Linked DNA regions of Sus scrofa. The protein of the gene in region 1 interacts with the protein of each later gene in a pairwise test. Links are inferred from orthologs where the notes say so. Each region holds a gene or a part of one and is shown in the gene's direction. Other genes may lie near its edges. The genes, in order: HNRNPA1 and HNRNPH3.

Region 1 (4,159 bases):
GTGAATAAAATAGCCCCTACGCGCCATCACAGGCATTGAATCCCCTTCCTCGCATCCCCAAATCTAAGACCTCCCTCTTTTGGAGCGCTGATTGGACGAACAGCCTGAGCGCTTTCCAGAGGCTGCTCGCCTACTGGCTCCCGATTTGGTCCATCCACCTAACCGCCCAACTCCCGCATCCCCCATTGGAGTCAAATCGTGGCCTCTTGGAGGAGCCCAACCTACCGCGCGCTTCGTGCTCATTGGCTCAGTGAGATGCTGCTCAGGAGGAGAAAGCCCGCCTCCCACATACCGATGGCCCAAGGACCGATGAGTCGGCAGCTAAGGACAGCCCCAATTGGCCTATACACTCGCCAGTCAAACTCTTCCGCTGCAAAGCTCCACAGAACCTACGGGGATAAAACATCCCGCCCCCGTTCTTCCATTGGTTGGCCGATCTCACCGCTCCCCCTTCACGAGCCCCCACCCCGAGGTCCATTCATTTCACACAATAACGGGCCCAGTTGGAGTCAGTTCAAGACCTCGTATGGGTAGGCAAGATGGTCCGCCACTTACCGGGGGTCGAGACCGATCACTCACGCTAACGCCTCGCCTGTTCCTCTGTGGTGCGGCCGGACCACAAGCCACCGCCGCCGCCGCCTTCTGCGCAACGCCAACCGCCCGCCAAAACGGATCCTTCCCTGCGCCTGCGCGACCAATCCTGGGACCCGACCCTTTCCCCGCCCATTACGCCTGCGCAAAAGGGGGCACAACTCCCGCCACTACGCAGGCGCCTTAGGTTCGCCGCTGTCTCCTGCCCGCCATTTCACGTGTTGCAAGCTCCGGGCGGAACTTCTTAGCGCGCCTGCGTAAACTCGCCATTTTACTACACATGCGCTCAGCAGGCGATCTTGCCCCCGCCCCCGTTCCGCCAAATTGTCACATGCTAGCTACTTTTTTGATACATAGTATTAAAAATGCTTTGACACAGGCGTTGAATATTCCGGACATAGCTAATTAAAAAGTTATCTCAATACCCGAAATAATTCAAATATGAATCATTGGTTGACCAGCCAATCAGTCTAGTTAAGAATAATATTACTTAGGAACCAATGGACCGGGAGGGGTTGAGACTGCGTAGAACGCCCAAACGGATGACGTTACACAGCAACGCATACGAGAGACCAATAGTGGGGGAAAGCTATGTCAAATATCCAATCAGAGCTACTCAGGGGCGGAGTCTACCAATGCCGAACGCGAGGAGGCGGGATAAAAAAGCGAGGCCGAAGGTAGGCTGGCAGACTCGTTCGTTAGATTACTCCTTTCTGCCCCCGGACGCCGCCGAGTAAGCATCGTTGTAACCTCCTCCCCACTACCGTCATGTCTAAGTCAGAGGTGAGTGAGACTCTTTTTTCATCTGCGTTTTCTTCTTCGCCGCTTGCTGAGTTTGGTAGGGTGCAGTCTGGTTTGGCTGCTTGCACCAGCCTTTTCGGCAGTTCTTCGGTCGCTGCCGGGGCCTACCCCTCCCTGAGTTCAGGTCGCCATTTTGTCCTCGTCGCCATGAGGCTGTCGTCGTGCAATCCTTGGTTATCACGCTGCTCTCGTTCTTTTTTGCAATGCTCGTGGACACATTCGGTCTGTTTTTCATCCTTGTCCTAGTGGACGACTTTCTTAAAGAGTAGCTGTAGTCCAATTTTGGCGATGCACGCCCTCCCAGTCCTTTTGTTGCGCGTGCGTCGTAGGGAGAGTAAGGGGCGCATGCGCTCGCCGCTTCCCAGCCCCCAACATACCGCCTCCCCAGATGGGGAGAAGCACGTGGCTTACAGCGACCCGAGGGAACAATAAAAGCTTCGTACGTTGCTACCTGGTGTTGCTTCTTGTAGCGGGGAGCTTGTTTGCGTTATAGCCCTATTTAACGCTTTTTTTGCCCCTACTTCTAGTCTCCCAAAGAGCCCGAACAGCTGCGGAAGCTCTTCATCGGAGGTTTGAGCTTTGAAACAACCGATGAGAGTCTGAGGAGCCATTTTGAGCAATGGGGAACGCTCACAGACTGTGTGGTAAGACTTGGAAGAGACAAAAGGCCTTAGAGCTAGTTGTTTTTCTTGGCTTATCTCGCTGTCGTTGCTGTTTGAATGCTTATGAAGATTCCTATTGACTTTATAGCTTACTTGACAAAGGAAGGTGTGGCTTCATAGCTGAAAAGCTCCCAATTGTTAGGTTTAAGGGGTGGGGGCGGTGGTCATTGAAGAGCTTCGTTTAGAGGGTTGGTAGAAAGTTTTCCATTGCCTTAGTCAAGGTAGAAAAGGCTGTAACTTCTGGTGTCTTACCATGTGCTAAATAAACATTAAAGGTAATGAGGGACCCAAACACCAAGCGCTCCAGAGGTTTCGGGTTTGTCACGTATGCCACTGTGGAGGAGGTGGATGCAGCCATGAATGCAAGGCCGCACAAGGTGGATGGAAGAGTTGTGGAACCAAAGAGGGCCGTCTCAAGAGAAGTAAGTGATGTTTTTCTTGTGTTTCATCGACTGGAAATGTTCGATTAGCAGGATTCACTCACATTAAGGGGATGTAACAGACTTAGTATTAACATGGTCTTAGGATTGTTACTATTTTCTCCCCCTTTAGGATTCTCAAAGACCTGGTGCCCACTTAACTGTGAAAAAGATTTTTGTTGGTGGCATTAAAGAAGACACTGAAGAACATCACCTAAGAGATTATTTTGAACAGTATGGGAAAATCGAAGTGATTGAAATCATGACGGACAGGGGCAGTGGCAAAAAGAGAGGTTTTGCTTTTGTAACTTTTGATGACCATGACTCCGTAGACAAGATTGTCAGTAAGTAGCAGGTGGTTGGCATTCGCTAAGAGTTCTGAAATCCATTTGTGTCCTAAACTCTGAGATGGTGTCTTACTTTCAAATTTTTCAGTTCAGAAATACCACACTGTGAATGGCCACAACTGTGAAGTGAGGAAAGCCCTATCCAAGCAAGAGATGGCTAGTGCTTCATCCAGCCAAAGAGGTGAGTTTGTTGCTTAATTAAACCTTAAGCATCATTTTGAATGATTTTAACCGGTACAATTTAACGTTAACATTTTTTTCTTCAGGTCGAAGTGGTTCTGGAAACTTTGGTGGTGGTCGTGGAGGTGGTTTTGGTGGAAATGACAACTTTGGTCGTGGGGGAAACTTTAGTGGTCGAGGTATGTATGGTTTTTTATTATTTTAACGCTTCTTAGAATTTAGGCTTAGAAGGGTGTGATTTGTATGCGATCCACATACTTCAAACCTGGCTTTTAAATTCTGTTCCAGGTGGCTTTGGTGGCAGTCGTGGTGGTGGTGGATATGGTGGCAGTGGGGATGGCTATAATGGATTTGGTAATGACGGTAAGTTTTTTTGTTTTTACTGTTAAAATTTTGTGTGTGCGTGTGTGGGTTTTTTTAGTTCGTTTTGTTGTTGGATTTTTTTGTTTTTTAAGAAACTACAGGTAAAAAGTTTGACTACTTTTAGAATAGGCTAGTAGATACTAAAACTTTAGTGCATGATAAGTTCAAGTTTGACTCTTACAGCATGTTGTGAGCCGGCCTTTAGCCATCATGCTTGCACAGAATTTGAATGTTGAATACTTGTGTCTTATTGAGAAGAATTGTATTCTTGTAGGTGGTTATGGAGGAGGCGGCCCTGGTTACTCTGGAGGAAGCAGAGGCTATGGAAGTGGTGGACAGGGTTATGGAAACCAGGGCAGTGGCTATGGCGGGAGTGGCAGCTATGACAGCTATAACAACGGAGGAGGCGGAGGCGGCTTTGGCGGTGGTAGTGGTAGGTATCCAGTGATCCAAGTACTTGGTGCAAATAGCTAGCTTAGCCATATGGGAACTTGATGCTCTCTAGGCATAATGTGTTTTACTGCATGGTACTTTCTTTTAATGGGCTTGCAATGCTACCTCCTCCTAGCTTTAAGCTGGGGCCGCCTCACTCCCAAATAGATTAAGGGGGATAGTGGTGCCTACAGTTAATCGGGATTAGGTTAGCTTTTATTTAGGCACTTAGTTGATGTATCCAGCATGTGTTTGCGGTGCCCCTGGATGGGTAACAACAGCCTTCGAGGCTAGAGACTATACTACTTGCTCTACCATGGTGAGTCAGGGGTAAATTTCTAGCTACTGGATTATTCAACTGAAT
Region 2 (4,785 bases), on another chromosome or scaffold:
TTTTTCTCTTTCACCTCCCCCCCAAATATTATTATTTTGGGGGAAGGGGAGGCAGTAGGATGGACTGGGAGTTTAGACATAATAGATGCAAACGATTACATTTAGAATGGATAAGCAATGAGATCCCAATGAATAGCACAGGGAACTATATCCAATCTCTTGGGATAGAACATGATGGAATATAAGAAATGTATGCATATATTTATGACTGGGTCACTTTGCTGTACAGCAGAAATTGACACATTTAAATCAGCTATAATTTTCAAAAAGAAGAGAAAAAATTTTTTTTCAGGGTTATAAAGTGTCAGTGAATTGAGCACCTAACTTGAGCAAGCTCTCAATAATTGTGAGCTACTGTTATTACATCATCCTGTTTTATTTTTCTATTTCCTGTAATGAACACACTGTCCTTTCCCCCCCTTTCTCTGAGGGTTATCTTGAGGGCGTAGGCTCAAGAAAGGCAGTTAGGGCACTATGACCTAGTCCCACACTTGTCTTAAACAGGTTTGAGGATGAATGAAAGCCAAGAAATGCAAGTTTCCACAATAAGATAGTAATTGGACTCCTGTCTCCACCCTTCACACTGCAGACCTCAGGGAAGAAAAAATTATTCAAGCTTCTCCACTGCTAATCCTCTAGGTCTCCTTCACCCCACCTCGACGCCCTTTTCAGGGTCTACAGCCCAAAGTCTTTGCACTCTGAAGTTCTACAAGCTAGTTTTGTCAACATTCCCAACCTAGGGGTACTTGTGTACACTTAAACTCATTTCCTCCTCTCCTTTGCATTTGATGTGCGTTCCTATACGTCCGCACTTTAACTTGCGCTGATCTCAGTACTAGGACCGACCTCTAATCTTCTTACAGAAATTCAGCTCGCCTTTTTTTTTTTTTTTCCCCTTCAAGAGGAGTCCCTAGGAACCTTGGCGGTATGACAGCACAACCAAAAATTATTTACTAGGTGTCATTTGTACAAGCAATTTTCAAGGATGCAAAGTACTATTTAGAAAACAACTGGAAGTCTCCCGCCGCGAGCGGCTGATGCTCACTGAGATTACAAAGTGGGAGAGATAAAGGCGAGAGGTAACGCCAAGGCGAAAGGAGGAAGCGATTTGCAAGGCAACCCACCTCCCCACTCCACCCCCAAATAAGCCCCACTGTGGGGCGGGTTGGGCGGCTGGGCTGGCAGCGCCAAGGCCGGGGGAAGGAGCTCCAGCCTGAGAACCCAAATAGGGGCCTGGTGGACATTACTGTATCTTCCCAGCCGGAAAACACTACTATTTTTACTGCATAACGCAAACATGGTGGACAAGAAAAGCCCTCCCCGCATTTGGCTGCCGAACCACGTGGCTCCCTTTCCACGCAGGTGACGCGGGGTGAGGGCGGAGCCTTACAGAATTTGCTCTCGCTGGGAAAAAGCGGACTTCTCCAAAACTCGACTCCAGGATTCTTGCAACACAAACAGGAAGGAATACTTTCGCCACTTCACATCTCCCCGCGAAAGCAGAAAGGTGGCTTTGAGAATTTGAAGGTTTTAGGGTAAGCAAGAAAAGCGGAGTTACTGACCCTCCACCTTCCCCCGACCCCAACAACCAGGCCTTCCACCAACGCGCAAGCGCACTTCTTGCCTTCCGCGCCAAGGCGGGACCGACTCTCTTGCCTCGCGAGAGCGGGGCCGGTGGGTCTTCCTCGCTCTCGCTCCACCCCCTCCTTCTCTCTCGCGCTCTCCCATCCCCCCAAGCCAGTCGCTCTGCTGCGCAGCTCCCTCAGCGGTTGCCACCGCCGGAGACGGTTGGAAGAACCGTTGTGGGAGCGCTACACGAGGCAGGCGACTTCTCCTTCTCCACGACCGGGCCCCGCAAGCAGCGGAGTCGGCGCTACTGTCGCTCGACAGGGTATCTGAAGTAAAAGGGGGTAGGTTGGGATGGTGGTTTCGAGAGTGGAGTCGGGAGAAGGACGAAAGAGAAACTGGGAGGGGGTGGGGCGGGGCGAAGTGTGGAGGTCGCCGCTCGGAGGTGGCCAGGCTGCGCCCCCCCGGGCGATCTCTCACTTCGGGGGCGGCCTGCCGGGCGGGGGGGGGACTTACTCAGGGGGGATTTAGTGGACGAAGCCGAGGCCCGAAGTGGGGCTCATCACGCATTTCCCGTCTTTTCCCTGCTGGTTTGGCTTCCGCCATTTTGGGTACGGTGGCGCGGCCACCTGGGCTTCCCGCCCTTCTCCTCTCTTTCTGCTTCTTGCCCCTTAGCTTCCGAAAACTGATTTAGGAGTCCGGGGAGGGGGGCGGTGGTTAGAGCGCCTCGGAAGGGATGTGGGTGGGGAAGGAAGCGAGCTGGGAAAGGCTGGGCACTTGGGTGGGGGGAGGCTCAGGGCCTTCGGGCGCGCTCCGGTTGGAAATGGCGCCGGATGGGCCTGGCCTCCCACCGCGGCCTCCCTTCCTCCGCAGTCTCAGCTGGGCTACCTGGGCTGGCGGGACTGCGAGTGACTTCTGACGCAGATTCCCAAGATGAGAGAGGCTGGAGCTGGGGGAGGAAAGCCAATGGCGACGAAGGCGCTCAACTCCCAAACCCGGGACAAAGGAGGCAGACGGCCTCCTTTGTAATTCCGCCGCCGGGTGGCGAAGGTTTTTAAGCCAAGCTTTGCTGCCGAACGGGAAGGGGGGGAAGGGGCGTACTCTCCCTAGCTCTCTGGTCTCTAGGGCAGCTAGATAAAACGAAAAGCCTCCGGGGAGGAATAAAGGACGCTTAGCCGGCCCTTATATTCCAGGTTTGGAGCTTCGAAAAGAGTACGTACTCATTTTCCAAAGGGTTTTTTCCACTTAAACCGTATTGGGAGACTTTATGGGTAATTGTAAGCAGAAAAGCGGGTGACTTACCGAATAGGAATGTGCAGTGGGGCTTATTTCAAGCAGGTGAACCAAGATACGACTTTCTGAACCTTTGGGCGGGGGCGGGATGGTTTAGCAATGGTTTTGTGTAGTTTGGCGAATACTGTGTTAGAATTTAAGTAGGTGGTTTACTTTTGGGAAACAGTTGTTAAAAAACAACCAGTGATGGAAAAAATGTGTGTATAGGAATTGCGTTATCGGCTTTCACCAATCTCCAAGATTTTTATTTTGTGCAAAGATTGTTTTGGCATTAAGGCTGTGGAAATAAAATACTTCAAAATACAGTTAGGGTTTATTTTCTTTCGGTAGCTAAGCGAATTTTCTATTTGGCTTAGGACTATAGTAACATTTTGGCGAAGAAAATAACCCTACTCAACAGAAAAACAAACTGCAAGCCCAGTCATGTGGTGCTGTGATTTTTTTTTTTTTTTTTTCGGTCCTTAGAACATTGGAGAACTGGGTCTGTAATTTTCACTGAAAACTGTGCAAAGTAAAGGACAGGCAAGGCATGAGACTTCCAATAATGCATATGAATCTTTACAAGTGTGTTTATTTTTTCATCTTTAAAAATGAAAAAGATCTTCATGATGTTGAAGATGTTCTGTGTTTCTATGCACTTGTAAAGACATATAGCCCAGTTTCTTATAAAGTCTTGTGTGGTGTAACAGCTTCCCTGATTGGATTACCCTAGAAACCTTTTTTCCTGCCCTTCATCTGCATCATGATTTGGAAATGCATCTAAATTGCTTTTTATATTTTAAACAACTGTGTAGTTTTGGTATTCTTACTTTGTTAAACAAGTGATTGAACTGCAGTGGGTGGTAACTTTGTTCTAGAAAAGAAATCCGTTTAGACACCTCACCTCCAAGTAGTAGTGTGTGAGTCTATTTTTATTTAAAATTGAGCAAGCACAATGAAAAGGGAATGATTTCCATTTTATTTAAGCATTTCATCACCACTTCTGACCAAAATTTTGAAGTTACCTCTCATTTTTTAATTTTCTGGCCAAACCTGTGCCACAGCTGTGACACCACAGGATCCTTCTTAACCTGCTGACCAAGGAACTTTTTTAGAAGCATGGTTTAGGGTTGTTTATTAATGTATCAAACCCTTTATGTTATAAAGGAATTTTATCTCATTTGGCTTCTAAGATGTTTTTTCTTAACAGCTTTGAGATACAGTTCACAGATCGTTAACTTCATCCATTTAAAATCATACAGTAGTGGTCTTCTGTGACTGGTTTCTTTCACTTAGCCTAATGTTTAGGAAATTACATTAAAAATTTCATACAGAACTGACAAACTGTGTATTTCAGCTGCTGGTGTTTTGATTGATGCTAACACTAGAAATTTTTAAAGCAGAATTGCTGTGACACTTGTAAAGAAAGGTTGAGAAGGATTATCCTGAATAATTGGTAAACACTTTTTTTAGGTAGTTTCTGAGACAACTTTATTAAGGTATCAGAACAGATTGGTGTTTTTTTTTTTTTTTTTTTTTTATGCCTTCAGGTTTTGTCTTGGTTTGGTTTTGTAAATAGAATTCCAGGTTCTAATTTTGAGTTTTGAAGAGTTAGTAGAGTGTGGGTTACTTTGTTGTGTACTCATTCACATGGGATGGAGAGTCATTCTGAAGTAGTTTGTCTTCCAAATCTGCTTAACCTTTCCCCAAATTAAAATTGTGTTAACAGTTTGGTGTGTTCTTTATAGACTGTATTGTTTTTATGCACTTTGGAATAGGCTGATCCAAAAATCAAAGCTAGTATAGTTTGCTTGCTAGTATTTCTTGGAAAGTGCTAAGATTTATAACTATAAGTCAGTTTCCATCTTTTTTGAATTCCTGAAGTGGTACCTTTACATTGAAAAATAAATAAATAAATGTTCTAAGTAACATAAAGCCCCCACATCC

The links.
Region 2: the proteins of HNRNPA1 (region 1) and HNRNPH3 interact in binary tests that used the Homo sapiens proteins (3 or more experiments, as listed by UniProt). The link is inferred for Sus scrofa from reciprocal best matches to the Homo sapiens genes HNRNPA1 and HNRNPH3.

The regions. Positions count from the first base shown.
Region 1 is NC_010447.5:19,483,818-19,487,976, forward strand, and holds the start of HNRNPA1 (heterogeneous nuclear ribonucleoprotein A1), read left to right. Parts: upstream 1-1,359; coding exon 1,360-1,374; intron 1,375-1,919; coding exon 1,920-2,036; intron 2,037-2,329; coding exon 2,330-2,476; intron 2,477-2,606; coding exon 2,607-2,817; intron 2,818-2,908; coding exon 2,909-3,001; intron 3,002-3,086; coding exon 3,087-3,179; intron 3,180-3,288; coding exon 3,289-3,363; intron 3,364-3,637; coding exon of another isoform or gene 3,638-3,796; intron 3,797-4,159. UniProt on the Homo sapiens protein: Involved in the packaging of pre-mRNA into hnRNP particles, transport of poly(A) mRNA from the nucleus to the cytoplasm and modulation of splice site selection.
Region 2 is NC_010456.5:71,484,544-71,489,328, forward strand, and holds the start of HNRNPH3 (heterogeneous nuclear ribonucleoprotein H3), read left to right. Parts: upstream 1-1,751; 5' UTR 1,752-1,910; exon of another isoform or gene 1,911-2,219; intron 2,220-2,454; exon of another isoform or gene 2,455-2,778; intron 2,779-2,868; exon of another isoform or gene 2,869-2,999; intron 3,000-4,785.